3 linked regions of the Arabidopsis thaliana genome follow. The protein of the gene in region 1 purifies or fractionates together with the protein of each later gene. This does not show direct contact. Each region holds a gene or a part of one and is shown in the gene's direction. Other genes may lie near its edges.

Evidence for each region.
Region 2: the proteins of AT5G40460 (region 1) and CYCD5;1 purify together in Arabidopsis thaliana (affinity purification with mass spectrometry, with the first as the bait; one large-scale study listed by BioGRID). This does not show direct contact.
Region 3: the proteins of AT5G40460 (region 1) and RHM3 purify together in Arabidopsis thaliana (affinity purification with mass spectrometry, with the first as the bait; one large-scale study listed by BioGRID). This does not show direct contact.

What each region holds. Positions count from the first base shown.
Region 1 is NC_003076.8:16,195,990-16,206,278, forward strand, and holds AT5G40460 (cyclin-dependent kinase inhibitor SMR3-like protein), read left to right. Parts: upstream 1-6,152; 5' UTR 6,153-6,475; coding exon 6,476-6,814; 3' UTR 6,815-7,369; downstream 7,370-10,289.
Region 2 is NC_003075.7:17,673,888-17,685,443, forward strand, and holds CYCD5;1 (cyclin d5;1), read left to right. Parts: upstream 1-5,280; 5' UTR 5,281-5,609; coding exon 5,610-5,852; intron 5,853-5,932; coding exon 5,933-6,019; intron 6,020-6,103; coding exon 6,104-6,413; intron 6,414-6,488; coding exon 6,489-6,637; coding exon of another isoform or gene 6,638-6,643; exon of another isoform or gene 6,644-6,718; coding exon 6,719-6,901; 3' UTR 6,902-7,377; downstream 7,378-11,556. Other genes in the region: ACA2 (calcium ATPase 2), read right to left, coding at 9,338-9,577, 9,659-9,957, 10,045-10,216, 10,296-10,454, 10,536-11,556.
Region 3 is NC_003074.8:4,958,728-4,970,807, forward strand, and holds RHM3 (rhamnose biosynthesis 3), read left to right. Parts: upstream 1-5,377; 5' UTR 5,378-5,580; intron 5,581-5,756; 5' UTR 5,757-6,054; coding exon 6,055-7,614; intron 7,615-7,704; coding exon 7,705-8,148; 3' UTR 8,149-8,348; downstream 8,349-12,080. Other genes in the region: SWEET2 (Nodulin MtN3 family protein), read right to left, coding at 22-58, 415-475; AT3G14780 (callose synthase), read right to left, coding at 3,170-3,427, 3,527-3,848, 3,953-4,074, 4,257-4,357, 4,498-4,738. UniProt on the Arabidopsis thaliana protein: Trifunctional enzyme involved in UDP-beta-L-rhamnose biosynthesis, a precursor of the primary cell wall components rhamnogalacturonan I (RG-I) and rhamnogalacturonan II (RG-II).

The sequences.
Region 1 (10,289 bases):
TTTGGTGTAGGTTTTAGTTTTAACAAAATCTTGAATGGTGATTTGTTTAGTCATCTATTTTAATTTGTTTGTTTCTGGTTTTGTGTTTAAAAACTAAAAAAACGTTACGTATAAATGTTGGTTTGTGGAAACCCCTTGCGCTATTAGTTGACCAATGGTTCATTAATGTTTCTACACCAAAAAGTTTGGGTTTCGAGTTTCAGATATTGTGATTTATTAGCAGATTTTCGTATATGTAATAGACTAATAGTTGTCATAATTTGTAATAAATAATAAATCTAAGACGACAAAAAAAAAAAAAAAAAGTTTGTTAGAAAACCCATAAATTTTTGGTTTTTGAGAAATTTAGTTATAATAGTTTCCCCACTTATGTTAGTATTTTCATGGTTAACTAATTAATCATATATTCTTTAATTTCTTCTAAGATCATTTGGATCTAGTATAAGTATGTGCATATACAAATTCGTTTTTGTTTTTTCTACAAATTAAAAATTTGAATAGTTTAAACCATTTAAATCTATATTTATAACGAAATCTATTTTTCGTTGAGTGGAAATTAGATACATGTACCAAAAATTCTGTAAGTATGTAATATGTGGTATGTTTCTATTTTACCAAGGTTTTTTTAATTTAAAATCAAGATTTTAGCATTTAGATCGAATCGGATTAGTGACAAGATTATCGAATTTACTGATTCTGCCTTTGAATACGAAAATATTATTTTAAATAAAATCTACTAATATTAGTACATATTTGTTTTCTTAACAGTAAAGAAACAACAAAATAAATAGTTAAGAAAAAGTATAATTATCCTGTAATTAGTAGAAACGCAATCAATTCAAATTTAGACGTTTAAAGGATAAAATATTTTGTGATTGACCCGTCCGCACTTTCCATTTTTTTCACCATCAAATTCCGCAGGAATATATTCTAGATGGAAATTATATTTGGGGGTAATTATCATGTTTTCTTTAACAGAAATTATAAGTTAGCTAAATATAAATTAAATCACATCATCATCATCATCATCATCATCATCATCATTGATCACAACGTTAGTGGAATCTTATGCAAATGTTAATAAGACATTTTCCATTTCAATTTCAAAAAAGCTGGCCGCCATTACAAGGACCGACCCATCACCCCCAACTTGTATAATATATGCTCTCTATTTTAATGATATATGCTCTCTACTAAAAATTACTCATCAATTCTTTCACGGGCCATACAAAATTTTAACATGTACCTAATTTTTAAAACTATAATTTGCCGACAAAAGAACTGATTATTAAAGCTATTAAAACGCCGTCAGACAAAAAAACAAACAATTAAGCTATTAAAACCAGTAATGTTATTAAGAAAATTGAAAACAACAAGTCTACAACTGATACAAACATTTAAAACCGGTCATGTTGTTAAGACAACTGAAAACTACAACGCCCGATCGACGATAGGGATATGCTTCATTATTTTTGCATTTTTCCATTTTGAAACTTTCTATTAGAAAAAAAAAAACTTTTATTCTAATTTAAAACAAATGTTTTCGAAATTGAATTGGTTGGTTTAGTATTTCACGGTTTAATTTAATTTAACCAGCTAAGCCGAATTTTGAATATATCATATTTCTGAAACTAATATTTCCAATTCAAGTATATGAAATAGATAGTTATTTTAACTTTTCAAGAAATTCAAATTTAAATTACAAATAGAAATAATAATTGTAGCTTCTGTTTAGAAGAGGAATTAAAGTATAATTAATTGAAAGAAAAAGTAAATTTGTAGTGCATATAATTTAATTTTTGATACTAATGAAAGTGTTACAAATACAATTATCACAAAAGACTAACCTAGATTTAAAAAGTTTCAAATCACAGTGAGATATTGAATCATAATTCAAACAGAAGTGAAAGTAAAAAAAACTCTATCATACCTTCTTATAGTATATACTATTTACTATATGTAAACTAAATTCAAAAATTGGAAGTAAGATTTTTTTTTTTTATCATACATACAACATTTTTGTGTCTCATTCTTTAATATTTATTTTAAGAAATAAATGTTCTTCATTTTTTCAATGTCAAAACAACATGTTCTTGCACGTGTTATAAGATTTTTAAGATACATAACTGAATCAGCCGGTGCTGAAAATTGAATCGGCTTTTTTATCCAGAACTTCTGGTTTTGCGGCTTTTTTAATTTCTACAAAAAATACTTTTTTCTAGTGATAAACTAGAATGGAATATCTGGATCATTTTGGATTGGTGCGATCAGACAAATTCGGTTCAGTCTAAAGAATGTTGCTTTAAAGCAATGTTCTGTTTATTTTTGTCATTTTGTGTTTGTTTGGTCAGTGCACAGTAATTATTTTAATAAAAGTAATGACACCACATTTATATTTTTGTTTTGGCAAATTGGCAACACACCTAGATTAGTTGTTAGTTTATTTTCCTTTTTAACAATCAAACTGATTCAAAATTTGCGGCTGGTCCAGCCCAAAAACAAATATTGGTGTACCAATCCTTCCTTTCTAGTTTGTATAATGGTTAATCATCTTATTAATTGACATTCATATATGTTCTATTTCTCGTCACTATATATATCTTATAAAAGTAAAAGAAATAATATAATCTTAATAAAAATTTCGTCCAATAAATCTTTTTTTTTTTGCACCCTAAAAGTATTAATTTATTTTATTTTTGGATAAATGTAAGAAGAAAACAAATCATTGAAACTTAGTTTTGCATAGAAAATGTGGATGGAAACACACATATGCAACATTGATTTATGTTGAGATTTAATCTCGATTGTAATCAATTATGAATCATCTATATGTGGTTCTTAATTATGCTTAATTACTTATTCAGAGTTTCGAATTCCACTTTTTCTAGAGTTGTGATAGTAACGGGCAGATAAAAATATTATTGAAAACTTAACCATTTACAAAATGCATCTCTAGTAATATTTTATACTACTGAAATATAATCTGCATATGAACATCAATGTTGGTCTACTTTGTTTTTTTTTTCCACAAGTTGGTCCTTCTTGGTCTACTTTGTTTTGTGGCGTATATAAGTAACATATATGCTATGACTAAACACTGAATGAAAATGTATGCAAATTGATAAAAAAAAGGAGGCTCCTATCAAACCGACCAAACCGAAAATAATTGTCCTTACGTCGCCGTCCAGAACAATATTATCGAAGATAAATCCAATTTTGCTTTTGCGCCCAATATTAAATTTAAGGTAATGATAACAATTCGGATTGGGTTCATAAAAGCAAGTTATAATATACAATGAAATATACTTTTGGTGTGATGTATCTTACCTTTTCGTATGAACTGATTGCGTGAACGATTGCATCACTTATTTAGCCTAATAATTTTTCTAAAAGAGAATGATCCGATCCAGATTGGTTTAGATATGATCAAAATTGCAAGGAGGTTCGTTAGAAGTTCACCAGAACTGTTATTTACTTGCAAGGAGGTGGCCCGAGCGTTACAAACGCGATATAAAGATTAATCAATATGGATAAGAGTGACTATAAGCTCATACTCTTAGAATAACTTTGAAAATGTGTCGCATGATAATCGTTTGACTAGGTTTACGTTTTCTTTATACACTATTTTTGAATAATTATTCATTTAAATGCATTTCATGTATAATATTCTCTTTGTTTATTTTTGTTTGACTGTTTAGGAAAAACACACATATTAAGGTAAGCATATTAAAGTTGATTTTAAATGTATTATTTTGTGTGTTTTACAATTTCATATAACTTTAAACCAATGATATTCAATCATTTTTATTAAAGTTAACACTTCATCAAAAATAACAAATAAATGTTGCATAAAAAACCTTAAAAAATCAATTTCTTAAAACAAATTTATTTCCTAGAAAATCAAATAAAAAGGAACAGAGAGAATAGTAATTTATAGATGACTAATTGATAAATAATTTTTCATACAATGTAAATAAAGAAATAGTATAAAACATGTTAAATATTTATATAGATATATTTTCTAAACATTCATGTATCACGGAACGAAAATTGGTCGAGAGTAAGATACACAAGTCAAGATAAAGATGTGAAGTGTAAAATTTTCACATGAAGAAGAAGGGATTGTTGTCCAGTTTGCCATTTTTTGGATTTTTTTCTAAAAATGATAATTTTACTAAACTTTTACAATTTTGCCATTTTTAACATTTAAGATATACGTATTTACGATTTTTTTTTTAAACACGTATTTTATACCAAATACTAAACCAAAAAAAAACCCGACTAATTTTATCATAATGGGTAAAACACAAGTTAAATCACTTTTTTATACCTGAAAAATGATAAAATTTTAAAAACTATTTAAAGATGGCAAAATCTATAAATGCCATAAGAAGAATAGCAAAATTCGTAATTAATTCGAAAAACAATCGAAACCTTACAAATCATCGTAATTAAACACATGTTAGAGTCATTTTTGTATTAAAAGAAACCCTCATATATCAGAACAACCGAATTGGATACAAGATTACATGATAAATGATCGAGAATTGGCGAGTTATGTATAAGATATGTCAAAGGTCTTGCTGGACATTCGGGTTCGATGGCAATTTGAACACTTTCGATAAGTAACTAATAGAATTGGCCAAAGAGGTCTTATAAGGCTGGTTGACTAAGAGGGTCCCATGCATTTCTTTCACACTAAAATAGATAAGGGTCGGCTCTTTTGTAGGTCCAATATAATATGCGTTACTTTCAATTTCAAATTTTAGTTAAAAAACATTTCAAATTGTTCTTCTTCATATTTTACATTAATTTTCATAACGTTTTGAATGCGAATAAATCTAATGCTTATGTGACACAATGTCAGCCCTAGCTAGTCCCGACCTTCCTCAACTTGTCTCTATCACCATTCATGTCTCTCAAAGGTCCATTCATCCTATCGCCTAATAATTGAATATTGATTACTTTTATTACATAAAGAAATATAGAATATAATATATCAAAGTTAACTATAAAATTGTAAATTGTAAAATGTAAACCTTAACTAAAAGATGTATTTGATTACATCATCTTTTTTTTGTCTAAAAGAAATTGGGATGGACCTTTTATCTATTTGTATCTCTTCGTCTCATGGTCCGGAATAATAACTAAAATTTACCTAAAATTTCAAATTTCTTGGTATCATAAAATAACTACAATGCAACATTGACTTATACTTCATATCGCACGTATCGGATTTAAGATTTCTAGGGTTCCAATCTTCATGTTCGACTCTAGAACCAGAGGGAGAGCAATCCATCATGCTGATAATCACCCGCCAATCTCTCTTATCCTTATCTTTCTAATGACTAGAATTAGCTGCATATATATTGTTTGTTTGATATTGACATTGTATTTGTACACATAATGGCTTCTATGTATATATAAGTGCATGCATGAATCCGTGATGATGGCACACCTTAATTACGAACATAACTTTAAACTGTATTAATGATCGATTAGTTATAGATATATAATATATTGTTGTTTGCCTCCATGGTTAGCTAGTTTTTGACATGGCTTGATATGCTACTGATGTTTTCTAACGTTGCTGTTTATTGAATTGTATATATCATATAGTTTAATAATGTTGATGAATAAGCCGTGAGTGATATAAATTCCAAACTCATTTTCCACAAGATTCACACTAGATTTTGTTTTCGGCAGATTCCATGATTGTTGATAATCTTATCAACCAAAATTAGAGAGAAGGCAGATGAATATTTAAAGTGATGGGGAAAATTCAGTGTGTCAAAACCGACGTCGTTTTGATGACCAACAAACTGACGAACTGAAGTTAAACCGAGTTAATTTCAGTTTGAACCTAAACCCAGAGAAAACCATAAAAAAATGTAAATTAACGATAACCGATTAGAACCAAAGAGGGTAAATAAACCAAACCGATGTTCTCTTCTTCGGTTCTTCTCTTACCTAAAGAAAGAAACCTCGCGGGAAAGTAAACTGGGGGCAAAATCGGGAATCACTAAAAGGATATAAAGGCGGGAAAAAGAGCCGTTGCGAACCAAAACTCTCAAACTATGGCGCCAAACAAAAGACGGTGGTTGCGACTCTGCCCGTAAAATTTCTCGGGCACCTAAATTTTTATTCTTTTTAAATTTCCAATTTTATCCCTTTTTTTCTTCATCTTCTTCGCAAAGCTTTTTTCTCCTGAATATTATTTTGACTATTTAAACCCTCTCTTTATCTCAATTTCCTCTCATTTGTTTTTTCTCATTCTTCTCAACAACAAAAAAAATTCTTCCTTTCAGACCAAAAAATTTGACCAACCACAAATTTTTAATCTTTTTCCCCACTTTCATTTTATTCCGATTCCTCTTCTTCTAATTGGAACAAGTCTCTGTTTTTATCTCTCTGTTTTCTTTTTGGGTTTACTCTGTTTTTTCATTTATCTTGGTTTTGAGTTAGTTAAAGAGAGATGGGTTTTTCGAAGAAATCTCAATTCGAAGGAGGTTTAGAATCCGACGGGAAGAAATGGGTTATCGCCGGAATTTCGATTCGGGCTTCGTTGAAACCAGTCAAGACGAAACTCAGAGCGCCGCCGGAGATAGTGACCGAAGTTGAAGAAGATTGCTACAACGAAGAGGAAGAGTGTTCGACGACACCGACAGCGAAGGAAACGAAGATACCGGAGTTATTGGAATGTCCACCAGCACCGAGAAAACGACGGCCGGCGTTAAAATGTCGGAGTAACGTCGTTAGAGAGTTTTTTACGCCTCCTTCTGATTTAGAGACGGTGTTTCTACGTCGCCGTTAGTGAGATTTGAGTTTTTTTTAATATAGTTCTCTAGTTATATATTAGTTACAGGCCATGAAAACTTTGGTTATTAGACTTAGAGTTAAAAATATATGATAATGAATCTAATTATGATAATGCGTATCTTCCAAATTAGCCTTGTTCATCACATTTGGTTTCATTAATATTTTGGTTATACATATATCAACAAATAATCAGTCCAGATTTTATAAAAACACTAATTTGATGTAGAAAATTTTATACTCAGAGCCTTGGATTAAGCCTACGGAGACTAAAGGAGAAGTGACGCGAGCAAATCTTACCAGTTAGCTCAACTACCTAAATATAATAATAAAATTACCAATAATTTGTGACAAGTCCACACGGCAAGCTTTTGACTCTCCACTATACTCGTTTTTTTTGGGCAAATCCACTATACACGTTTATAGGTTTTTTTTTTGTTGTTGGTAAAACTCGTTTATAGGTTAATAACTTAAACTATGTATTTGCATAATTATTGTTTCCTTTATCTAATGTTCTAGATGTGGGCCAATATAGTTTTTATTAACAAATAATATGGTGGGATCTAATACAAAAATCTTTAATTTCAAATAAAAAGAGGTAAATCATACTATTTGGAAAGAGAAGAAATCAACAATTTTATAATGCACACATGTAATGTTTTTTATATGCTTTAAAAGGATTCTGAAGAATTTCAATGCATGACTTTTTTTTAAGGAGGCCTCTACTTCTAAAGCCATCCCAACAAATATGATACTTTCTTTTTTCAGGTTAAAGAGCTTTTTGCGTGCACAATTGCACACTCACTAAGTCATTAGTATCTTTAATTCATTGACCACTACTTTGTATTGTAACAAATTAATTAAATAAACTCATAAGACATTATGATTAGTAATTACTCATGCTACGCACCAATAGTACTATTTGCAGATTAAATGTGTTGCATGCAAGTAAGTCACTAATTCTCAGTTGTGTTCTTGTGGATTGAGTCATGAAAAGGACAAAATAGGGTTCAGAGAATAGCGGTGCGATGGGAGAATCCAATGTGGGACTTAAGGCCTTGTTTGGTTCCTTTACGAGACAACGACCAATCTCGTGTTTTTTTCCTCTTTTTTTTGAAATGCCAAATACAAGAGAAATATTTGAATAGAAGGAGACTATGACGATTGACGAGTTTGGATCATTCTTGTGAACGAGTTTATTTCACTGTCATGACTTTAGGAACTATAATACATTTCTTTTCAGGAAAAAATTATATTGCCTGCCGAATGTACTAGCAATTCAAAATGAGAATCCAAGTTTGAGGATTAGGTTCACCTTTCACAAGTCTGTAAATTTGTTCTAGTTAGCAATTCCAAAACAATAGCTTTTAGTGTCCCAACTGATGATAGCCGAATCTTCCATTTTAGGAGACTTTAAAAGATTAAATTCTAAGCTGAAAGTGCGGATGAAGTAATATAAATTGCAAGGAAGAAAAGACACAAGAATTTTGTTAACGAGATTCGGTTTTTCCTACTTTCCGGGAGAAGTTTAGATTCAATTTCAGTAGAATAATAAAACAAATTACAACAAATTTGCAAACGCGTAAAATAAGCACAAATCTCTTGATTTACCGCTCTCTTTTAAAACGTGAAACCTTAAAGATAATTTTTACTCTTAATTAAATTCCTTCAAAATCTAGATTTAATCAGGATAACACCTAACCCTGAACTAAACTATCCTTAAATCTAGACTTCAAAGCAAAACCACTTGATCACACAAGCACAAACCCGCAAAACTAAGTTGCACACAATCTTACAGAAAGTTCTCAAAGATTTCTTCTTTATATCTCAGCTCTCTTGCTTCTTCAAAACGTCTCCAGCTTCTCCGTATATATCCAAAACGATTTTTTAATCATTATAGGAAAAGATTTCCAAATTCCATAAGAAAAAATAAATTTTTATTTACATTTTCCTTTTTTCTCATTGAATTTCACGTTCATCAAGTCTTCCAAATCCTTCTAAGTCATTTTCCTCTTTTGATTCATCATCTAAACATATTCCAAAAATATATTTTCAAATTTTCTAGTAACCGACACTCACACAAAAACATTCGCATCCTGAATTACTTCTTAAATCATTTAGCAACTCCATCAAACAAAAATTTGTATACTATTAAACTCATTCAACGACTCCATCAACAACAAATGCATCTTCATAAGAATCTTTCAAAATGTGTAATTTCACTTTAAAATGCATGTTTTGATTATTCATTGGATCCGTACAGATATAAGGATAAACAAAGAATTTAGTACGTAGGAGTCGAAATGAATAACTTATTAATAGAGATATTATTGTTACTTCTTGACTAAAAGGATTTTTTTTAAAAGAAAATAATAATTTAAATGACGGATATCGTATTGAATTGATTTTTTATTAATTCATCTTTTTTGTTTCTTATTTCATCTTCCATCATTTAAGAAAACACAAACATTTTTCAGAACTAACGACTCAAGAATCAATAAGATCATGTTATATATCAGTGTCCAAATCTTATATAATAACACATACAATCAATTCCAAATTTATATAATATGTAAAAGATAATGATTGAACAAGATATTTAGAATCCAAGAAGTGACTGATTATTCTGATTATCCAAGAAGATAAGATAATTATTAATTTGTAAATTATAGTTTAAACGAATCCAAGAAGTGACACTAATTAAAGGTAAACAATAAATTTGCAAGGATCAAGATTACGTGACAATTTCACGATGCCTAAGTCAGTTTCTCAAAGGTAATGATGAACTCGAACTGGCCGTCTTCTAACTAGTTCATCTAATTAACTAGTATTTTAGATACTTTCGTATTGTCTATTGTGTGTGTGATAAGATGTGCATACATATTAATAGTTTTGGTTTTATCATTCTTTTGTACTGTCGAAGTTTTGGTTCTCTTTTATTTGGATAGAGACATACATTTGTGACTTGTTCTTTGTCTATATAGATATGATAGTAGCTATCTTCAACAATGCATGTGCTTCTCTAGGGGACCAATCGAATAAATTCTAGTTATCATATAAATAAAAAATTTCTCATAGACTCTATATGTGTAGACAAACTATGATTCCTAAATTGAATGAAAATAACCAATAATTATAGAAATACAAGTAATCGGAATCCTGATATTGGATAGTAGAATTGAGTTGGATGACGAAGAAATAAACTCTTAACTGACCGGATTCATTAGCGCATGTTGCGTTGCCACCTTCGCAAGAGTTTTGAGCAGTGAGTTCAACTCCATCTCACCATAAAAAGTCTAGTAGTTAACCAAAAAAAAAAAATCTTAACTGAAAAACCAAATAGACTTTAATTATTGAAAAAAGAGTTGAAAGCTAAAAATTAAACCATAATTACTAATTAGTCATCCAAAGAAGACAAGATGTACTTGGTCATGAATATATTATAAGAGGAAGTAATATTTAGAGCATGTCTA
Region 2 (11,556 bases), on another chromosome or scaffold:
CAATCATGCCTATAACAGCTCCATCACTAAAAGTAAAAACTAATTTATTTCTGTGTCCGTGAAATAAATAACTATCGAATATGTCTAAACACGTCAACAAATTGATTGTGTTTTGATTTTAAAACGTGTATGTTCAACGTGGTCTATTAAACAACTGACATTTTATTCACTATTTAGCTAATTTATCTATCATCATATCAATACTTGTAGAGTTGTCGTTGTAGAAAATTAATGAATTGTATACACTTTGTTTGTTCATTTTTTTTTTTTTTTTTTTGTGCGAAAGTTGGTTTTCATTAGAAATTAAACATTTAAACCGGAGTCAACCGGGTACAAAGACGAAATTGAAGCAAGACCCAATTTTGAAAGGGCATCTGCAAGTCGATTTTCATTTCGAGGGATAGAGTGAAACCTAACAAACCCAATCTCCGACGCGAGGAGGAGAATATCGTGTAGGATTCCATGGAGCTCCGTTAATGGAGTTCTCGAGGTGATGGCTTTGATCAACTGTTGTGAATCAGAAGCAATTGACAGAGAGGTGAATCCAAGATCTTTGGCTTGCTGAAGAGCGAGAAGCATCGCCAAAGCTTCAGCTGTGAGGGCCGATCTTATGTTTCTTGCTGAGGAATGGGTATATTTGTTAATTTGTCCACCGATCTTATTTCTGTGTCCGTGAAATAAATAACTATCGAATATGTCCATCGATATATTAACTTTGTTTGTTCATATATTTTGGAGTAACAATGTCAATGAGTACCCTCTAGCATATATTTTTTTTTTTTTGGGCAAACTCTAGCATTGATTGATAAAGAAAAACAGATTGTTATAGCATGGACCTCAGTTATGTAGACCGGCTACATTGGCTACATTATTACACATGGGTCACTCTCACTTATATATTGGGCCTGTAGAAACATTTTGATAAAGATGGGTCTTACCTTATAATAAGTTTTAGGCCCATTATTAGTAATATCCCGAAATGCTTAACAGTTAACACTCACTATTACATCTACTTCTCTTGTGGAGAATGGAGATAGTCGCATACTATAGCATTACAAAATTTAATTTTATCTACGAACTTTCGCAATTTTCTTTTAAATCTATAGCAACGAACTCTTTTTTTAACAAAAATTGAGTAAAAAAATTATGTATCTGATTTCGTGTCACTGTAATAATTAGATGTTATAAATTTTGTATGATTTTTCTGTTTTTTTTTTGTCAAAATAAAAACAATTATGTATGATTGCAATTAAAACAGAATCAAAACTTATGTGTATTAAGAAAATATGTTTTTAAATAAGGAGGGCCAATATAGTGTAGAGTGTATTCAGGAAACGTAATAAATAGTATACGGCGAAGCCTCTTGTTGTTGTTTGTAACGAAATGGGAATTGCTTTCTTGTCTTCTTCATCTAATAAATATTCTTATCAAATATACAACACTACAAGCACGAATTCGTTGCCTTTTTCTTGTTAGCTGTTACAATTCAATGGCAATATACATATACTATTTCCTCCAAACAAGTTAGATGAGATTTTATATAAAAAAAAAATGTATGTGTAACAATTAAATGAGCAGTTTCATTACTCTAAAGCGTGAACTAGAGTTCACACGAGTTTCAAGACTTCTTTTAATAATTCGGATAAGCTGTGATATGTACATGTACTTTTTTTTACTATTACTACTCATCATATATATAGTGAATCAAGCATGAATATATTGTCGATAACATTAATGGTTATGTAAATTGCAAACAGTACACAACTAACACAACGGATATGAATCGTAAGAGTTAGGTGGCTGATCATTTTGTTGTACTCTATTCCTTCAACGAACCATTTTGTATTACATTTTGTCAATTATATAATTTTATGAGTATGTGAAAGTTAATATGTTATATTCAATTATTCATAGAGTTTTATATTCTCTTGCTAAAACCATGATGCTTCCCACCTAACACTTGTTAGTCTTTTATACACCAAAACGTAAATCGAAAAAAGAAAAAAATTTACTTATCCAAAATCCAAGCTGTAACCAAAGTTATAAATCGGACACACGTAAATAGAAATATTTGGTCAAAGTTTGACTGTCTTGGAATCGTAAAAAACTTTCACACAGTCAAAGGTTCCACTTAGATGGGCACCAAGCCCCAAAGAAATTCAACACATGGCACAGACTATATCGTCACTGTAATTATTTATTTTAAACCTTTTTTACTCTTATAGGAAACTTATCTAGTAGTGACATGATATCATAATTTATATTTATATCATATAGTTTTTTGGATTGTTACTAGTTAGGCAGAGGTGGAGCGTCTTCTTCTTCTTCGTTTCTGAGGCAATCCAGCCTTTCGCACGTGACCGACGCTCCTCCACTGTAGTTATTGTCACGTGCGCCATCATTCCACCATCAATTTTTTTTTATATATTATATCATATTTCTTTCATGTATTATTCAACATCATACACAATTGATATTTGATAGTGTTATGTCTTTTTTGTCCATAGAGACCTTCTTGTGGAAACAGAGGGACCGAGTTTCTTTGTTTTTGCTAGAGGATGAATAGACTAATACACACCTCGAAAGGAATCATAAGTAGATTGGAAAATATTGTGTGTAACGTGTGTTAGGTATCCTAGATTTGTTAGTTCATTAAAAATGTGATCAAATTATATTTGGTTACTAACTCTTTTTTTTTTTTATATGTCTGACTGTTAACCCTTCTTAACTCTTAAGAGTTCACTATGTTCAAATAGGAGCATTTATTTTCGTCTCATTTGCTATATGTAATGTCATATTTAGTTACCAATATTACATTTTATTTTCCACATAATAGTAATTTTATTAAATGCGTGAAATAGACCACAAAAGACTTTGATTCCTTATCAACAAGGGAAGACAATCATAGAAAGAAAAGCACGAGAAAACAAAAATAATTTTGTTTCACCAAAAAAAACAAATTAGACATAGATATTCACCAAGCGAGTTAGCCTAACGACCCAAAACTTGTTTTGAAGTGATAAAAAAATATCCTGCAAATTCATCATCATCGTTACTAATTTCGGTCAATCTTGGCAATTGCAGATCACATCATCTAAATTCTAAAATGATGAAATGCATTTTTCAAGTTATTGTGAAATTGGTCCCTCATCTTGACTACATACAAACATCTCAGAAAAAAATTTGTAACATAATGTAATCATTGTATATATATACATAGAAATGCACAATAATACAAGTCAGAAGTTAAAAAAAGGAAATACAAAAATAATCTGTAAAATACGTAATGTGAGAATATTACTTGTATCTAGGGGGGAGATCGAACAAATGCTGCTGATACTTCACTAACATACACATAAAAGTTGCAGATTTTGGATCTTGCGTCTTCTTGGTTTTATACCCTTTTCTTACATCTAGTCTTATAAATATTAATACTATAATAGAAAAATTAATTATCCTATATATTGAATGACTCGGCTCCAAAGCCATGCGCCTATATATACAAGTCTTTTTATTTTTTAAAAAATTTGTCAAAAAAGGGACCAGAAACATATAAAGATGGGAGCCTCATTTGCTGATGGATAAATAAATATTTATTTGATTTTAAGTTTGTTCAAGACTAATTATAGTACAAATTAGTAAATTGTTGTTCTTTTTTTTTCTTAACATATTACATATTGTATAGTATAATTCCACTTTCATCCAATTGGATAATCAGTTATAATTCGGATGGTTTACGATACATCGGATTCTGCTTTCAATTTTTCTTGTATACATCAAAATTTAACACATGATAAGGTTTTGGAACCCGCTAACGAGACCTACCTATTTTTACAATAAATATACTCATTCAGTATTTGTCTATATTTCTACCTACAATCTATGTGAATTTGCTTACGTATATCTACTCTTCTTATCTACGTACTGTATAAATTTTCATACACAATCTTCGTGTCTCGTAACATCTACTACATGAGTCATATACAACTTTCTCACCTAACATGGAAGTCATTACTCGTAGGCCTAATTACTCGTTACCGTGAATATAACTATAAAAAGTGAGGAAACAAAAAGATTTACGGAGAAGAAAAATTGAATAATAATTGCAATAGAACTATAGGAAAATTTGTATATGACTTAGCAAAAATAATGATATGGAACTAAATTAAAAAGTTGAGAGGATTTTTTTTAGTGGGAATGGTATGGTGTTTCCCCCACCAATTCCTAAAAAAAACTTATTGCAAAATTGCTCTTTTGATCTTTATTTTCTTCCATTGAAAATGAATTTCTAGGTCTGAATTTAATTGAAGTCAATAAGTGGGAAATAACTAAACTAGCTATTCCTCTGTTTTCTGTTCACAATTCTATTTTGAATAAAGTACATTTTAATTCAAACCTCTTAAAATAGAAGTTACTACAAAAGCAACAAAGGGGGTGGTACGTGGAATACACTAATGAGAAATGTTAATAAGAACGTTGTATTTGGAATGGGATTTAACTTTCTGCACATAAATTTCAATGGGATCATTATTCTTTCCTAACTAAATGATTGATACAAATTCAAAGGATCCTATAAATCTTATCTCAGAGACCGAAAGAAAATTCCATTTGTACAAAACAACAAATAAATAGAAGAAAAAGTTTGATGATAACATTCTTAACAGAATCCGTGAACTTTGTTCATGTAAGAAATCTAGAGTGTAATCAAGGAAGTTCAACAGGTAAAAACAATGACATTTATATATGGACGTTCTTAAAACGTGTAAATCTCATATATTTAAGACAGCCACAATAGTTCTAAACGCTCTCCATTCCTGCATTAAGTATTTATTTCTATTAATAACATTTAATTTATCAATAAAGTTCACATTATCATAGACAACTCCGAAATTAAAAAAGTTTTTTTAAAATAAATTTGCTTAAACTTAAATAATCAACAAAATACAAAACAGTTTAATGGAAATAGCAGAAATCTTTTTCAAGAAAATACAATACTATTAGATAAAAACAATTTTGTTAAATTAAAAAAAACCCATAATTGACTAGCATCAAAAAGTCTTCAAACACAAGTAATCCTGCTGGATATTAAAAAAATAAAAGAGTAATCATTCCTTTAAAAAATGTGATTATTTGTCGACCCAAAAAAAAAGAGTGATGATATTATACATATACTCAAATATTAGTGAACAAATAAAACCTAAAATTAATCAAATAATAAAGATTTTTAATTTAAATGTAACCGCTAAATAACGCCCCCTCTCTCTCCCCCACTTATTTTTGGCGGCACCAGACGCGGGAGACTCTCTCTCTCTCTCCACTCTCTCTCTCTTTTTTCTTTGTTTTTTCGTCACTTGCTCCTAAAATCCCAAATCGAGTAATGGAAGAAAAATCAAATACGATGATTTAGCTTCCCTTCTTATTCTTCCCCTATATTCACTGCGATAACTTTGCCTCTCATCTCATAAATTAAAAAAAAAACACTCTTCTCACAAATTCTTTATAATTCCCCTTTTGATGTGTACGGACACACCACCGAAGCAGAAGCAGAAGAAGAAGAACACTTCTATCTCCGCCGCCGCCGTCGTCTTCATCATCATCGCCGCCGTTAAATGGGTGAGCCTAAAGACAGTCTCGCTCTCTTCCTCTGCCACGAATCGGAGTCTTCTCTAAACGAAGACGACGACGAGACGATTGAGAGATCTGATAAGCAAGAACCTCACTTTACTACTACGATCGATGATGAAGATTATGTGGCAGACCTTGTTCTTAAAGAGAATCTCCGATTCGAAACCCTACCCTCTAAAACGACGTCGTCTTCCGATAGATTGATTGCCATCGATTGGATTCTCACTGTCCGTAATCTCAAAAAGATTTTCCCTTTTTTGATCTTTGTCTTAATCTCTGATTGATTGGTTCTTTGTCTTAATCTCAGACAAGAACAAGATTTGGGTTCCAACATCAAACAGCTTACATTGCAATCTCATACTTCGATCTGTTTCTCCACAAAAGATTCATCGGTGTAAGTTTCAATCTCCAGTTTCATTTATCTATAAAAATCTCACCTTTATCTTCAGATTAAAGCTTAAAGATGGTTTCTTTGTAGTTGCAGAAAGATGAAACATGGGCGATGCGATTGTTATCAGTAGCTTGTTTATCATTAGCTGCTAAAATGGAGGAACGTATTGTTCCTGGTTTATCACAATACCCTCAAGATCATGACTTCGTTTTCAAACCCGATGTCATTCGTAAAACTGAACTGTTGATTCTATCCACATTGGACTGGAAGATGAACTTGATCACTCCTTTTCATTACTTCAACTACTTCCTTGCTAAAATCTCTCAGGACAACCATTCTGTTTCTAAAGACTTGGTGTTGTTAAGATCCTCTGATTCTCTTCTTGCTTTAACTAAAGGTAACTCTATTAAGAAACACATTTTTTTCTCAAGATCAAAGCATTTATTGATATCACATTTTTGTTTCCATGTAGAGATAAGTTTTACGGAGTATCGACAGTTTGTTGTTGCTGCTGTTACTACATTGCTAGCTTCTTCTTCTACCTCATCGGATATTAGATTGACTAGAGAAGAGATAGCTAACAAGTTTGGTTCGATCTCTTGGTGGACTTCTAATGAGAATGTATAAATCTTGGTGTCTTTTTATTCGATTTTGATTGTTTGATGTTGATGATCATAATCTTAGGAGTGTTGGGTTTTGTAGGAAAATGTATATTTGTGTTATCAGAGAACGCTAGAGATTGAGGAGAGGAAACATATGACACCTCCACCGGAAATAGCGGTTTCTCGCGAACCGCCGGCTTCAGGAAGTGGCGCTAAACGCCGATTGTCTTTTGATGATTCTGATCAAAGTTCTCCACCAGCCAAGAGAATGCGTAGGCTATGAAGAGAGAGTTTCTTTCTTCTTCAAGTTTTGGCTTATATTGATTTGGTTTCTTTTTTGGCAACATATTGATTTGGTTTTATATTCAATCATTTGATTATAGAGAAAAAATGGTCTGAATACATCGGTTATTTCAATTTTTATGAAGTAACTCATATAGGTTCTTCGTATGAAGGTCTTTGGATTTCTTGGGGATGAAATGTGACTATTAAAACATTAGGGGCTTCTCTGAGAGAATCTAGGAAATATGAGGAGTGAATGTAAATAAATAAGAAAAACAGAAAGGGTGAATAGTTTTAGGCCAATAGTTGCAGTGCCAGTGATTTGGTTTCACATCCTCTTTTATTTTTTTATTGTCTTATTTTTTTATTTGTTATGTTGCAATTTCTTTTTCATTTGATATTACAAAATTTTGTCATAGATTTTTTTTTTTTTTTGGCATCAAAGTCCATTTTTTTAACCTCTTTAACTTTCAAAAGGGCTCATTCATAGCAAATAATAAATGAAAAAACTCTTTTTAAGGTAAGGTAAAATTATTTTATATTTGATAAATATATTTATTTTCTTATCTTTATTGACACTTTTGGTCATCTCCAAAGTGAATCCATCTGTATGCTACTCAACATGTTATGTCCATTCCACAAAGTCCTTCGTGATCTTTTCATGTTCTCAAATCTCAATATATAATATCTTGGAAAAAAATTAATCAAATAAAAAGAAAATTTTCTTGTTTAGGAAAAATCATCGTTACTTATCTTTGATAGATAACTACTTTTACGAATTGACAATCAGTCGATCACGATAAACTAAAACGGATATATATTTTGCTCCAATAAGTTTTCTTTAGCATTATAGAAACCAACAACTTGTAGTGGAACTGTGGAAGTACTTTGGATCAATGATTGGATCTAAAGATGAAACCCCAATTTATACAGAAATTTGCATGTGATGTTTTTAAGTTAACGTACTATTCTACGCGCAAGTCAAAAGTGCATCGTACTCGTACATATAGAGGTAGATTGTTTTTTTTGTGTGTGTTTATAGGATTATTGTTAATATTTTCAATGAAATGCAGTTGAGAAAAAAAAAAAAAAACATATGTGTAATAGACTGAAGAAACAACAACCCAACGACTTGTTTAAGTGAGAAACAACTGTCTCATACAATACAACTTGGGATCCAAAGTTTTGGTTCCATTAATTAAAGCTTTAATTCCAAAATGATTAGCAACGAATTAAAAGACTTATTACAAACAAAATGCATTCTTACAAATTAAGAAGCATAAAGTACTGACAGAATATAATTAAAGATAATGTGTGTGTGGTTTAAGGCCAATGTTTTGTTGCTCTAAGAGATTATTCAACAAATCAAGAAGCATAAAGGGTCAAGCTTTACTTCACCAAGAACTAGTTAATGCTTCTGAATTTTCTGTTGCCTATCTTTCAATGAATATTAGTATGTCCCAATTGTTATTTTTTTTTTTTGCTTATTATCATTGAGTTAAACCATTTTGTTTCTGTTGGGTTTTGTGTAGACATATGTGAGATTCACGGGTAACACAATTTAGTTACAACTCTCACTTTGGTTAGGAGATGGATAAACTAATGACTAGTGAGATTGAAATATCACAAAAATAACTAATCTTTATGTAAATTCTATTTTCATTCTAGATATTAATTAGTCCTTTATTTATGAACATTTATTCACACGATCACAAACTTAAACAATTAGTTATAGAATATTTTACCGGTCTAATGTTCACATAGAAATTATAATTTACCTATACGCCTACAAGGGACAAATGACTATAGTATACTCATTTTTTCAATCTAAAAAATGGTTTTACTTCATAGAGATCCTAAATTGATAACATTTAAAAATGTTTTTTTCTTTTCTTAAAGAAGAGTCTTTCTTATTTATTACAGTTTTGAGATTGACAGGCTTTGGAATTGTTATATGGAATCAGTTTTGACTGATGAGATATGATGTCAGGAGAAGAGGCTCCCACTAAAAGCCATGACTTCATTGAGAGATTTTCTAAGTATATCAAATTACAGTCTGGCTAGATAACAATTTTGTACCCAAATAATCATTTTTCTTATTTTAACCTTTTGCTTCCTCTGTTTTTTCAATGTCCTTTTTCTGTATTTTTGCATTTGTCATTCAATAGAGACCAAATTTAGATTCCAAAAATGAGAAAAAGAAAGAAAAGAGAAGTGTCATTTCAAAGATACAGAGAGTTTTACAAAAATGGAGGAAATCAGATATTTGTCCTTAATAGCACTAATCAAACTGAAAAATAAAAGTCAAGAATAAAAAACAGAGTCATTGCATAATGCAAAAACTTTGTTAGAAGACTTGTCCGTTCTAAACTTTGAAGTAACTGGTCTAATATAGAGATCTTTAAAGAGTGGTTTCGAGCCAATTTTGATGGAACGATCAAACGGGAATCGTCTTCAGTCCAGCGGCGATTGGCATACCCAAGAAACCTATGAAGATACTGAAGATCCATTGTGTTATTGTGAGTGGTGTTGTGCTTGCAAATGTGCCCAAGAACTCGATGATTATGATCTGAAAGAAAACCGTTGCACCGATCACAACCACAAAGACGTAATTGTCCAGTATTCCTTTGAAAACATCGATCTCTTCCATCTCTCGCGAGCTTATCTCGTTAAACACCTGGAGTTTTCAGAACCAAAGTCATGTCAAGAATCTATCTTTATAGCTCGAGTATTGTTATCAGTAATCTTTGTTCTTTACCTGACAGAAGACGAAGCAGTTGAAGATAAGAGTGTTTAACATGAGAGTTGAGTCAGGACCGTCGAGACCAAACATAGCCTTCCCTTTGGCTTGGAGAATCCAAATTACGATGAATTGGTAAACAGCTTGTCCTAAAATGTTCCTCCACATCGCATTAGTGATGAAATTGCCTCTCCTTCCAACAGGTAAACGCTTCATCAGCTCGTCGTTTGGTGGCTCTGTAGCTAAAGCAAGAGCTCCAAGTGTGTCCATGATCATGTTCACCCACAACAATTGAACAGCAGTTAAAGGAGCACTTCCTGAAGATTATCATAAGAGCTGTGTCAAACAAGGAATCCAAAATGATTCTTTTCGAGACATTGAATTGGTATTCTTACTAAACCTACCGGTTAAACAAGCTGAAGAGAAGTTAACAACCAGTGCAACAACATTAACGGTAAGCTGAAACTGAACGAATTTCTGGATGTTTATGTAAACAGAACGTCCCCATTTAGCAACTGTGACGATCGTGCTGAAGTTATCGTCGAGAATGATGACATCAGCGCTCTCTTTCGCCACCTAAAAGGTTATACAGATAGAAACTTTTAGATTCTTTAGCTCTCACAAATGACATAACAAAATCTTATCATATACTCACTTCAGTTCCAGCAATTCCCATTGCTAGTCCAATATCAGCTTCATGAAGTGCAGGTGCATCATTTGTTCCATCTCCAGTGACAGCAACAACTTCATCAAACGTTGTCCTTAACTGTTTCACAAGTGTATGCTTATCCATTGGTGAAGAACGAGCCATCACCTGTATAAGAACATAGGAAAGGTTATGTTTCAAAAACTAAACAAAAAAAATTAAGTCTTTAGTTCATGAAACAAAAAGCACCTGAATCTTTGGAATCAGTTCTAGTAACTCTTCTTGATTCTTCTCTCTGAATACGGGACCTTCGATGGCTATACCGTCATCAGTTAAAATCCCACATTCTCTAGCAATTGCTTTCGCGGTGTTAATGTTATCTCCTGTAACCATCCTCACAGTGATTCCAGCACGGCGACAAAGCTCAACAGATTCTTTAACTCCAGGACGTACGGGATCTTTGATTCCCACAATCCCTACGCAAGTAAATCCAGAAGCCGGGATTGCATCATCCGGCGAAAACCCGCCTTCAATATCCATATAAGCAAGGCAAAGAGTTCGAAGAGCTTCATTAGCAAACTCGTTGATTGTAACATTCAGATACTTGATTGATTCTTCATCAAGTGGAACAACCTCACCGCTCGAGTTTACAACTTTGTCACAAGCAGCTAAAACAATCTCGGAAGCTCCTTTCGTGTGAGCACGCATACGTCCTCCCTCAGGAAGCTCGATTACAACTCCCATTCGCTTCTTTGTGGAGTTGAAAGGCTCAACTTTGATCACTTTGTAAGACTTCCTCTCTTCTTGGAACTTACCTCCAAGAGATAACCCCAACTCTAATATAGCAGTCTCTGTTGGCGTCCCCAAAAGCTCGGTTTTCCCATGTTTGTTGACAACAACTTCGCCTCCTGTGTTATTGAAAATCGATTGAATCAACAACTTCACCGCAGATTCCGGGATTTCTGATTGCAAGCTAGAACCTTTATTTGCTACATCTTGCACATTCATGCAAATGCAAGACTTCACAACGGTCATGTGATTGGTTGTGAGTGTACCAGTCTTGTCACTGCAAATCGTCGTTGCAGATCCCATAGTCTCACATGCTGCTAAATGCCTCACAAGAGCTTTATCGTTCATCATTTTCTTCATGGCAAACGCAAGACTTAGAGTCACAGCTAAAGGCAATCCTTCAGGAACCGCAACCACAACGATTGTCACAGCAATAGCAAAGTATTCCAAGAGCTCCAATGCTTCATCACCAGACCAGACC
Region 3 (12,080 bases), on another chromosome or scaffold:
AAGTGAATAAGAAGAACTCACATTGGTGAAACGAAGAGTCCAAATGCAAATATGTTGCCTGAACACAGAAGAACAAATGAAACAGTGATATTAACAAATGGAAAAAAGTTTCTATCTTTGTTTGTGAATTGCATCAATTTGGACTCTACAGAAGCAGATTTCTAGAATTTTTCCGACAAAATTCAGAAACAAATTTGAATCTTATTAACGTTGTTTCAGTGCCTAGAAAAGGAAAATATGCGGACCAAAAATGGCCAAAATATATACTGATTTGGGGATATTCATGGAACCTAAGCCAGATCTAGTTATATATATTACATGGAATCAAAAAAGGAATTTGAATATTGGGTTTTACCACAATTAGCTTAAAATTACCAAACAAAAAAAAAACAGTGAATAGGATAAAGTTATTACCTGCGATTCCGGCAACATCTTTACACATGGATAAAGAAGCATTGAAAGCAAAAACATCCATGAGCTTCTCTCTGTCTTAAACTCTCTGTTTTGTTTGTTTTCTCTTCAGAACAACAAAGCTTGTGCTTTCTTTTTTTTCTTGCTCTGTTATGTTCTTATGGAAACGGATCAAAACGTTAAAGAGAGAATTAAACAGAGACGAGATTTCTTCTTATAGAAACTTTTATTTTAAAAAAAAAAAAACTGAAACCCAGAAACTTAAAAGAAGACTTTCTTAAAAAGGTAAGGAGCAAAAGGCTGAATGTGTACGACTATATATATGCGGTCCATATTTGGCTTTGTCTACTGTTTAACTATCTTACAAACAAATTAATTACGAAAAAGTGTCGTAACGTTATACATATTTGTTAATAAATTCCATTTAAAATAATATAGATCATGAAAAAATTAAGGTAAACATATGCATAATGGTCTAAAAATTCTCTTAAAAGTCTTAATGATATTCGAAATTTGATCCCATTGATTAAAAAGATTGAAAAAACTCGAAAGGTTTTGAAAATCATGCCTAAAAGAGACACTTAAATAATATGTCTTCTCTGTTTTATAGCCTGAGCTGTAACGTTGATCCCCGTCGACATTGATCTCAACTTGATTATCTGAAAATAGTTGCTGACCAATCAATTTTTCTCGTTTTTTGGATTGAGTTTGGAGCTTCTTTTTTTTTTCTTTTGAGTGGTCTACATTTGACATTCTCTTAGAATTTTAAAATGATAAAGAATAGAATAATATTAATTAACATTTGGTGGTCGTATGTTCTAGTCTACTTCAACAAGCGTTCGGGATTAACTCATGTGTCTCGCGCTGAGTCACTCATCATAATCTTAAAACCCTAAGGAAAAAGAAAATCCAATGGCACACGTAAATTACACTTTCTTTCTTTTTATAACAATTATACTGTTTTTAAGAGCATCGTTAATAAAACCCTTCGAGTGATCAAATCCCATTTGGTTTCCAGAAAACCATCATAAACTTATTCTTCTTTCAGGATCTCATTTGCGGATTTGCCTCTCAATTTGGTCAACACGTATACTATCCTAGCGAGACGCTACTCATACGCTCATTATTACAATTAAAGTACAATCATTTATATTATGAGTGAAGTTATTATCTACGTTATCTGAAATTATAACTTACGTACGCGAGTGAATACATATACTCCAACTTGTGAAGAAATTAACGTTTTTCCGATAAATCACTTTATTGATATATCAAATTACCGATGATATAGTTGATTAAGCCATGTCGCTGTTTCGCTGAAGTATGTTTAAAGTACGACGCCACGCGATCTGTATAACAAAGCGTGGGACAATCAATCTTTCAATCTAGCTAACGTTACGCTAATATCACGAATTTTTCTATTCTATATATGTATTCAATGGGTTTGACTTTTACTTTGTGACACATTTATTCTTCATTAAGCTGATTGGTTAAACAGATTTAAACCTTTCTCTTTACAATAACCATTATAACCTATATAACATAACTCATGTAATAAGCCGATAATCGAGCGCGAGACACATGAGTTTATCCATTAGTCACTGTCAGTCTGTCACCAACCATTCAGAACATTTGTTTTAAATTTTAATTACGTGAATGATCTAATTACGACATTGTAGTAATCAAGTGGCTAAGCACTTAAGCTTATCCAATTTTCAGAAATTATATATACCATTCGATTTCGGGTGTATACAAAATGTATACGGCATTAAATAAAATAAATATTTGATTTATAATGTAACGTAGAATATATTTTATTTTTGAACAATTACGTAGAAATATCAACTAGATTAACCAGAAAAACACGTGAATTAAGCAAAAGAAAAGTCATTAGGAGACTTTTGCTATTGATTTTAAAATATTTGTGGCGCTCTGAATGTCTTGGTTTTGAATATGATGTTATTCATTATATAATTTAATTAAACGGAGAAATATATAACCTTTTTTTTGTCAAAAGGAGAAATATATAACCTAAGTAATCAAATGTGTCTAGTTTTGTTATTTTTCTAAATAATTATGACCAGGCCTTGTCGAATTAAAAGTTAACAAGTTATGATGAATGTGTCCGAAAAAGTTTGAGATACATAAATCAATAAATCACATCACGTAGACATCAACAAATAATTTGTGTATTTCTAAACGTGCAAATATTTCCTCTGTCGCAATTTCCTTGAATCGTACAATAAAAAAAAAAAAACGCATGGGTTAAAAAATAAGTGTGGCTGAGAATTGATAGGTAGAAGTTGTTGTTAAATTATTGAACAAGCCAGCTCCATCGGTAGTGTGCCATATGCACCGCAAAAAAAGTGATTATCAACTACGATGGTTAAAAAAGAAAAATCTTCTCTTACATTAAAAATAATAAATTCTTTTTGTTTTACCGTTTCAAAATGGATTATATTTCCAAGCAGTATCTATACAAAATTAATTCCATACATACTCTAGTTATTAATATTTTCCATATTTAAAATAAAACTTTGATCTACTTTTCTATTCTTTTATCAAATAGATCCGTATTTTGAATATATGTTTTAAGGAATTAGATCTCTCTCTTTTTTCCTGTCATGCAATTCGTAGACAAAAATATAATTTGTAAACTAATTAAATATTCGAAAACATAAGTTCAAAGATAACTTAAATGTAAATATTTAGTGTCTTACAAACCATAGGAATAGAACAACTAGATAGAAGATAAAATTTAAAGGCTTAGTTTGTCGTTTTTGTTGTTATCGGTTTGGTTTGCTCTCATAGATGGAGGTACTTGGTCTGGAAACATGTTTTGCATCATGTTAGTCCAAAAGTCGACATCCTTGAGTTTCAGCTCCATCTCTTCAATCTTCTTCTCCAGCTTGTTCAACTTTTCTTGTGTCTCGAGATACTTATCTTCGTAAAACAAAGATGGAACCGCCTTCATTGATCCATATGCAAAACGTTTGTCTTTCTTTATTTGAACCTCCTAAAACCCCCAAAAAAATACTTTTAAAAGAAAGTTAGTTGATAACTTATAAAATTATTGTTAGAAAATAAATAATTTTTAAAAATTCAAAAGTGTCACCTCTTTGTATATGTCATCTTTTTCATCTTGGGTGAGATATTGGTGGTCTCCTTGAAACATTTGAGTTAGTCTCTCGTCCTCTAAGACTTTGCTCTTCTCAACTACCAACTCGGCTTTTTGGTCGACAAAGGTCTCGTCCGAATTTATCTTGTTGGTCTCCTCCATTGAGGTGTCCATATCAAGGAGCTCACCAATCTCCTCATCCCGGTTTAATTGTATACTTTCTGGGGTTGAGGCACGGCCCATACTTGATTCGATTTTCCTTAGAATTTCATATAAAACAGAAGCAATGCTGCGTGCATTTATCAACTTCTCTTGCTGACTATATTCAGATAAATTTCCATAGGTTAATGTTGGTTCGTTGAAATTGAACTAGAACTAGCAATAGTCAGTAGATTTTTTTAAAAATGGAGGATATATATATACCTATTATCCAAATTGAATGATGCACCATGTCTGATGATGTATTCATTGTAAGCATGATAAACACGTTTGAGTTCCTTATGATCATTTATTTCCTTTCTTCTTCTTATAGTAAACTCGTCATCCTACTACAAGTAAACAAATTAAAGATCAAGACAAACAACATAACAACTTAATATATAAGGTTAGAAATTTCATGAATTATCCGGAGACTGATCCACACCATTCATATGATCGGTCATATCTTAAAAAAAATCAAGAAACTAGCTAGAATCAGTGTCACGTTTTCTACTCTTAGGTGACTTGCCTTCTCTAGCCTTCGAAGAAGAGAATTTTTGAACTGTCGTACACCTCTTCCGTTAGATCTACTGTCAATGCGGTGAGCTTCTTCAAAAGTATAAAAACGGCCTACGACCAGAAAAAATAAAAAGATTAACATATAAATTATGATTCTTTAACAAGAAAGCGTGAATTTCGACTCAAAAACAGAGAAAATCCTAAAGTAGTACTCAAATTTAGGGAATTAGACGAGAGTAAAGTAAACTCACATAGATAAGCAACACGAGGATCATCAGACTCAACCAAGTTTGCTACACGAAGAAACCTTTGAATCCCTGAGGCTAATGTCTCCGGAAGCTTCTCGCTGTCATAGGGCTCCCACACATATTGTTCTTTCAAAGCGAGGGGTCTCGTGAACAAGCTGGTTGCCGGCGAATCTTCCGGGAGGATGGGATCCATATCAAGAAAAACATCGGTAGGATCCACAGGGGCGATTTCGTTAGACGACATTGGGAGATGAAAGCTGCTTCTTCTATTGTTTTAGTTGGCATGGAGATAACATTGGAGATGGAATTAATTATATAAAGCAGCACTTGCTTAGCGAGGTGGAATTCTATAAAATAAACAATGTAAAGACGGTGTTTGAAGTGTTAATTAAAAGTGATTTATTGGAGGAGAAAAATGCTTTCTACTAGTTTGGTACTAGAGAAAGTGGTTTCCTAGCAAAAGTTTACACTTTACACGATAATATCAACGTGCATGGGAAAAGAAAAACCATTAAAACAAGTTGAGATAGACTAAATCTTATGAATTGGAATATAATTAAAGCATATGTATATATTTCTTAGCCACCAAGAATATACCAAAATATAGACTACAAAAATAACTTGATGTCCAAATCAAACCAAATTGTAAAATGTATTAAAAAAAATTAGTCATCTTTTTTTTTTTTGTAAAACAAACTTTTTTAGTCATCTTTCGGTACAAATCATAGATGAGTAGTCGATGTGTTCAAAATTATCATTTTATTTATTACCATTTTATTAATGGTAATTTTTGTTCTAACTATTTGTTTAGTTTGAATGTGTGATGAAATTAATTTCTAAAGCGTAGTAGTAGTAGTAATGGGTAATTTGGTCATTGCGTAGTCTCCCACTGGTTCTCCGTAACTGTCTCAAAATTACTCATTTGAGACGCTCATTCGTTTTCCTTCGTTCCCTCTCTTTCTTCACACTCCTTTTTTTATTTATTTCCATTGATCTCTCTCCTCTCCTCGATTTTTCCCTCCTTTAATCCATCTCTGCATATTCTTCAAGCTTGGGTTCATCTTCATCTTGATCTGAATCGATCCGGTATGTGAACTCTTTCTCTTTCCCTCAATTCTCTATAAATCTCTAAGCTCAATTCGTTATTGTACGTCTTCGTTCTGCGTTTGATGCCGTATCCTGAAGTTTTTTTTTTTTTTTCGGTTCATGATGCTTTCTCATCGTTTTCCACTGGATCTGCTGCTAAATCTGGGAAATTTTAGCGTATTTGGATTTGCTACATTTGTCATACATACTTCTGGATCTAGATCTGCCTTATTTTTTCCTTGATCATTTCGAATTTTGGATTAATAGTTGTAGCTTGTCCTTTTATCAATTCGAATCTCATGACTTTGATTGTACTGAATCACACAGTGAAATTTTGTAAAAAAGGATAGATTTTTGAATGGTTCTGCTTAGTGTGTAGTCTAACTGTTTGATTAAATGTCGCAAGATGAAGTTTTTCTTGTGCTGTTTCGTCTGTCAATGAAGCTTTTCTGAATTGAATTTTCATGGGTTTTGATGTTGCAGATGGCTACATATAAGCCTAAGAACATCCTCATCACTGGGGCTGCTGGATTCATAGCCTCTCATGTTGCTAACAGACTAGTTCGCAGCTACCCTGACTACAAAATTGTTGTGCTTGACAAGCTTGATTACTGTTCTAATCTGAAGAACCTTAATCCTTCTAAATCCTCTCCCAACTTCAAGTTTGTGAAAGGAGATATCGCCAGTGCTGATCTCGTCAACTACCTTCTCATCACTGAAGAAATCGACACCATTATGCACTTTGCTGCTCAAACCCATGTTGACAATTCTTTCGGTAATAGCTTTGAGTTTACCAAGAACAATATTTATGGTACCCATGTCCTTTTGGAAGCTTGTAAAGTCACTGGCCAGATCAGGAGGTTCATCCATGTGAGTACTGATGAGGTCTATGGAGAGACTGATGAGGATGCTTCAGTGGGTAATCACGAGGCTTCTCAGTTGCTCCCAACTAATCCATACTCCGCCACTAAAGCTGGAGCTGAGATGCTTGTCATGGCATATGGTAGATCATATGGGTTGCCGGTTATAACAACTCGCGGGAACAATGTTTATGGTCCTAACCAGTTTCCTGAAAAGTTGATTCCTAAGTTCATCCTCTTGGCCATGAATGGGAAGCCTCTCCCAATCCACGGAGATGGATCTAATGTGAGAAGTTATCTCTACTGCGAAGATGTTGCTGAGGCATTTGAGGTTGTTCTTCACAAAGGGGAAGTTAACCATGTCTACAATATAGGGACAACGAGAGAAAGGAGAGTGATTGATGTGGCTAATGACATCAGTAAACTCTTTGGGATAGACCCTGACTCCACCATTCAGTATGTGGAAAACCGGCCATTCAATGACCAGAGGTACTTCCTCGATGACCAGAAGCTGAAGAAATTAGGATGGTGTGAGCGAACCAATTGGGAAGAAGGACTGAGGAAGACAATGGAATGGTATACTGAGAACCCTGAGTGGTGGGGCGATGTTTCTGGAGCTCTGCTTCCTCATCCACGGATGTTGATGATGCCCGGTGACCGACACTCTGATGGCTCTGACGAGCACAAGAATGCAGATGGTAATCAGACATTCACGGTGGTTACTCCCACCAAGGCTGGTTGTTCCGGAGACAAAAGATCCTTGAAGTTCCTCATCTATGGGAAGACTGGGTGGCTCGGTGGTCTTCTGGGAAAACTATGTGAGAAACAAGGGATTCCTTACGAGTATGGAAAAGGAAGACTAGAGGATAGAGCTTCTCTCATCGCAGATATTCGCAGCATCAAACCAAGTCATGTCTTCAACGCCGCTGGTTTAACTGGGAGACCCAATGTTGACTGGTGTGAATCTCACAAAACTGAAACCATCCGAGTCAACGTTGCTGGAACTTTGACTCTTGCAGATGTTTGCAGAGAGAATGATCTGTTGATGATGAACTTTGCCACTGGTTGTATATTCGAGTATGACGCTGCACATCCAGAAGGTTCAGGGATTGGTTTTAAGGAAGAAGATAAACCGAATTTCACTGGTTCTTTCTACTCAAAAACAAAGGCAATGGTAAGATAATATCACATAACCAAATCACATCTGATCCTCAGTCTCTTGAACTCTGTCCATAAAAAATCCTCTTGTTTCTATTTTTGCCAGGTGGAAGAGCTTCTAAGAGAATTTGACAACGTATGCACCTTGAGAGTGCGGATGCCAATCTCATCTGACTTAAATAACCCGCGAAACTTCATCACGAAGATCTCGCGTTACAACAAAGTGGTGAACATTCCAAACAGCATGACCATACTAGATGAACTCTTACCAATCTCGATCGAGATGGCGAAGAGGAACCTAAGGGGAATATGGAACTTCACCAATCCAGGAGTGGTGAGCCACAACGAGATATTAGAGATGTACAAGAGTTACATCGAGCCTGATTTCAAATGGTCCAACTTCAATTTGGAAGAACAGGCTAAGGTCATTGTTGCTCCACGGAGCAACAACGAGATGGATGGTGCCAAGCTCAGCAAGGAGTTTCCAGAGATGCTTTCCATCAAAGATTCGTTGATCAAATACGTCTTCGAACCTAACAAGAGAACGTAAAACACAGACACACACACGCACTTCCCCGCTCTGTGTTCACTATAATGTTTCTACTATAGTTTTATCTGATTCATTTACTCTCTTTTTTTGCATTCTACGACTTGCATGTAGCTGTCTTCACTCATTCTACGTCACAACACATCTTTGTTTTCCATTAATGTTATTACACAGATCGATTTGTTGGAGTTGTCTCTCCTTTCATTATTGGTTCCTCCTACTCCTATTCTATAATCCCTGTTTTGTTTTCATGTTAAGCAAGATATAGAAAAAGAAGAAACAAAATTGACTTTAACTTATTTCCCTTTGCTTTAAACTTGAGGATTCTATTTGTTACAAACAGCAAACTCAAATGCATAAATAAATTAAACTTCTGTACTTTCTGTTCCATCTACGCAACACGACCATCTAAAAGCATTTGGCTTTCTCTTCAGTTTCACCACCTTAGAGAACTACGAGTGACATTCCATGATCTTTTCATCCTACCACAATTCAAAACTAGTAAAGTTAATGTGTATCGAGGAAAATAAAAATTTATTCACTTAGAATGATGAAGAAAACGGTGGAAGTGAGGAACGCAAAGACCTCAATACCTTGTATTTTGTTCTTCTCTTCACAGAGTTTGAGGGTATTGTCTAGACAATGGTAGAATTTCTTGGCTCGTTATAAGAGATTTAAGTCAGTAGGAGTTGATGATTGATTGGCTTTTGAATTCTTATAAAGGAGAAGAAGACTTAAATAGAGTTTGAGATTGTACCCTCTGTTTCTGTAGACAACCAGTCATGTGCACAGAACAAAGCCTGTCTGATATCAGGGTTCAAGGAACTCTGACTATCAGAGATCACCGGTGTCCCAGAGTTGAAGGTTGAATCAGGCGCACAGATTGACATCGGCGTACCCAAAATGTCACGGGCCAACAAAGAGAGGATAGGGTATCTTGGTGTATGGACCTTCCAGTAATTCAGAATGTTGAACTCGCCACTACGGGGAAAGATCGGTTCAGACAAGTACTTGTCCAAATCCGTTGTTGTGTTTTGGTTCTGAGAAGTCTCGTGAAGAAACTTGTCGAACCCTTTCAGTCTGTCTCTAGTGTCCATACTAGCTCTACCTAAACCGGATCCAGAGAAGGAATCTTCACCGACAATGGCTGAGCACATCGAATATGCATCAAGAAGCTCCTTGACACCATTCGACACTTCCTTGATACGATCCAGAGCGGTACTGCCATAGATCTTAGAGTAGTAATACTCTACCAACTTCATCTTGAATCGCGGATCCAATATCGCAGCGATTGCTAAAACAAGGCTGCATTTGTTCCAATACTCATCGAATTTAGCCTTCATATTTGCTGCGAGAGAACTCAAGAAGTTGTCCTGGTTCTTGCACCACTCGACCAACTGGATGTGGATATCACACATCTCAGCAAAGTATACATTTGCTGTAGGACATTTGTTTGCTGAAAAGTCAGAGGCAATATCGAATACAAGTTTAAGATAACCAGTAACGTATCTTGTCCATTCCCACTCCTCGTCGGTTAGAGATGAATCAAAGCTGTGATCGTGATCACGCAGATGGCAAAACGCACCCTTGTACTCCAATACGGTTTCAAGCATCACGAACGTAGAGTTCGAGTTAACAATAGAATCAAGAACCAAGATCTTCTGGGAGTTGATTCCGGCGAGTTGAGCAATTTCGTTGAACCTTACTTGTGTTGATTGCGAGCTCTTGACATATCTCACACTTCCTCGAATCTTTTGGATCACATCTCTCATAGCCTCCAAGCAATCTTCGACAAGAGAATTCAGAAGATGAGCGGCAGATTTCAACTCAAATAACTGCCCGTTGATTAATATCTGGCTGCTCTGAGACATATGGTCTTTAATTCGCAGGACAATCTCTTCATTAACAGAAACACTGTCGAACGTAACAGCGAAAAGCTTGTTCTCAAGACTCCATTCAATCAAACATCTGATGATCACTTCCGAGAGCATATCTTCAGTATGAGAAGGATCCAAGGTGATAAAGTTTAGAACATTCCTATGTAGCCTCCACTCCTCATCGATATAATTAGAGGCCAAACACACATAGTTAGAATTATCCCGGGAAGACCACATCTCCACCGAAAGATTGACTTTACCGTATAAATGATTCAAAGTGTGCTGCACTCTCTGCTTCTCCCTAATGTAAATCTCCATACATGAATCCTCAATTGTGCTATTTGGCACAGCTTCAAACAACGGCTGAAGATTCCTAGCAAAAACTTTGAATCCAACATGATCAACCATGGCTAACGGATAATTGTGCAAAATAATCATACGTGCAAGATCAACCTGACTCCTTTCTTGACTAAACCTTCCACCACTTCCTCGGCTTAGAACCACCTCGTCCCTTCGTTGGTCCTGATCAAACTTAGGTCTAAGATACTCTTCTTTCGCTTGACCGTCATCAAAATTGATAGTAGCAACAGTAACTGGATTCTCTTTTTTCCTTCTTTTAGGTGTCAGCAACTGAGACATGTCGTGATTAGTTCTTTTGAGACACCGCATAAGATGGTTCCGAAGATGAGTTGTTCCGCTGTTGCTCGAACCACTGAGTTTTTTATTACACTGAATGCAAACAGCATAGCACACATCAGCCTTTCTCACTCTCTCAAAGTAATTCCAGACAACAGATGTCAACCTCTTTGATTTCTGCAAGATTATCTCATTTGATTCATCCATCATACAAAACTTGTATCCCTGCTACACCAAAATCCCTATTCATTGATTTAAACAACACAATTAGACTGAAACAAAAAGATCAGTTTTTTTACACAATTACAATGGCGTGAGAGTTCTGTGATTATCCTAGAGCATCACACCATCAGCATCAAAACCAAGTTCAGTAAGACGAAAGCCTACTTGATGAATGCACCACATTCATTGATCAAAGCAACAAACTTGAGACTAATTTACACAATTAGAATGGCATGAGCGTTACAAAGATCATCCCAAAGCATCACCATCAGCATTACACAGTCATAGCTTTGATCAAAACCAAAAAAAAATCACCATTGCAACAGAGATCATCAAATCATAAAACCAGGATGCGCCACATTATTCAACAATAAAAACCACCACACAAAATTCAATGAAATCAATCAAAGGTACAAACTTTAGGATGAAATTAGTCATACACTAGAAACAAACAAAACCCTTATGAATTTTGCGAGCAAGCTTTTGATATCAAGAAATTAGCCGAGAGAGTGAAAGAAGAACAGAGCAATAGCAAGAAAGTTTGAAATTTGGACACCTTTGTTTATAAGAGAAAAAAGCAAAGCCGTCAGAATCTTTGGAGACTAGAATCGGAGGATCCGAGGAGCTCTTTTAAGGGTTACGGGTGGAAGAAGCTGGATCGAAGAATATCAGATCCGATGGACGATTTGGGTTTTAAAGACCCGCATTTAGGGGTTCGGGTGGGTTAAACCGATGGAGGAGAAACCAAAATCCGGTTTTGGATCCGAATTTATCCCGGTTTCGTTGTAAACGCGGTTTTTGGCGCGGTTGGATAGATCTGATTAGTGATCCGATCTCAATTAATCCAATATTCTTTCTTTTTGTTAATTATAGACTTATAGTATTCAAAATTAAGATGTTAAGATAATGTTTAATTTATAAATATGAATCCTGTTAATGGTAAATGATAACTAGTTAACTACATTGTCAAATACATATTTAAGGGTATATTGACCTAGCTAACAAGATGGTCGAAGAATAACAAATCTCTCAAAACACTTTAATCTAAACTATTTATCATAATCTCAATGTGTTTTGACGTTACGAAAAACTTCAATTTCATTTCCTTCTCATCAATTCCATTTATAAATTATATATTCTTCTTTTTAAAAATATGGGAGTATATGCTTAGTTAAAACTCGAGTAATTTGCAAAAATTAT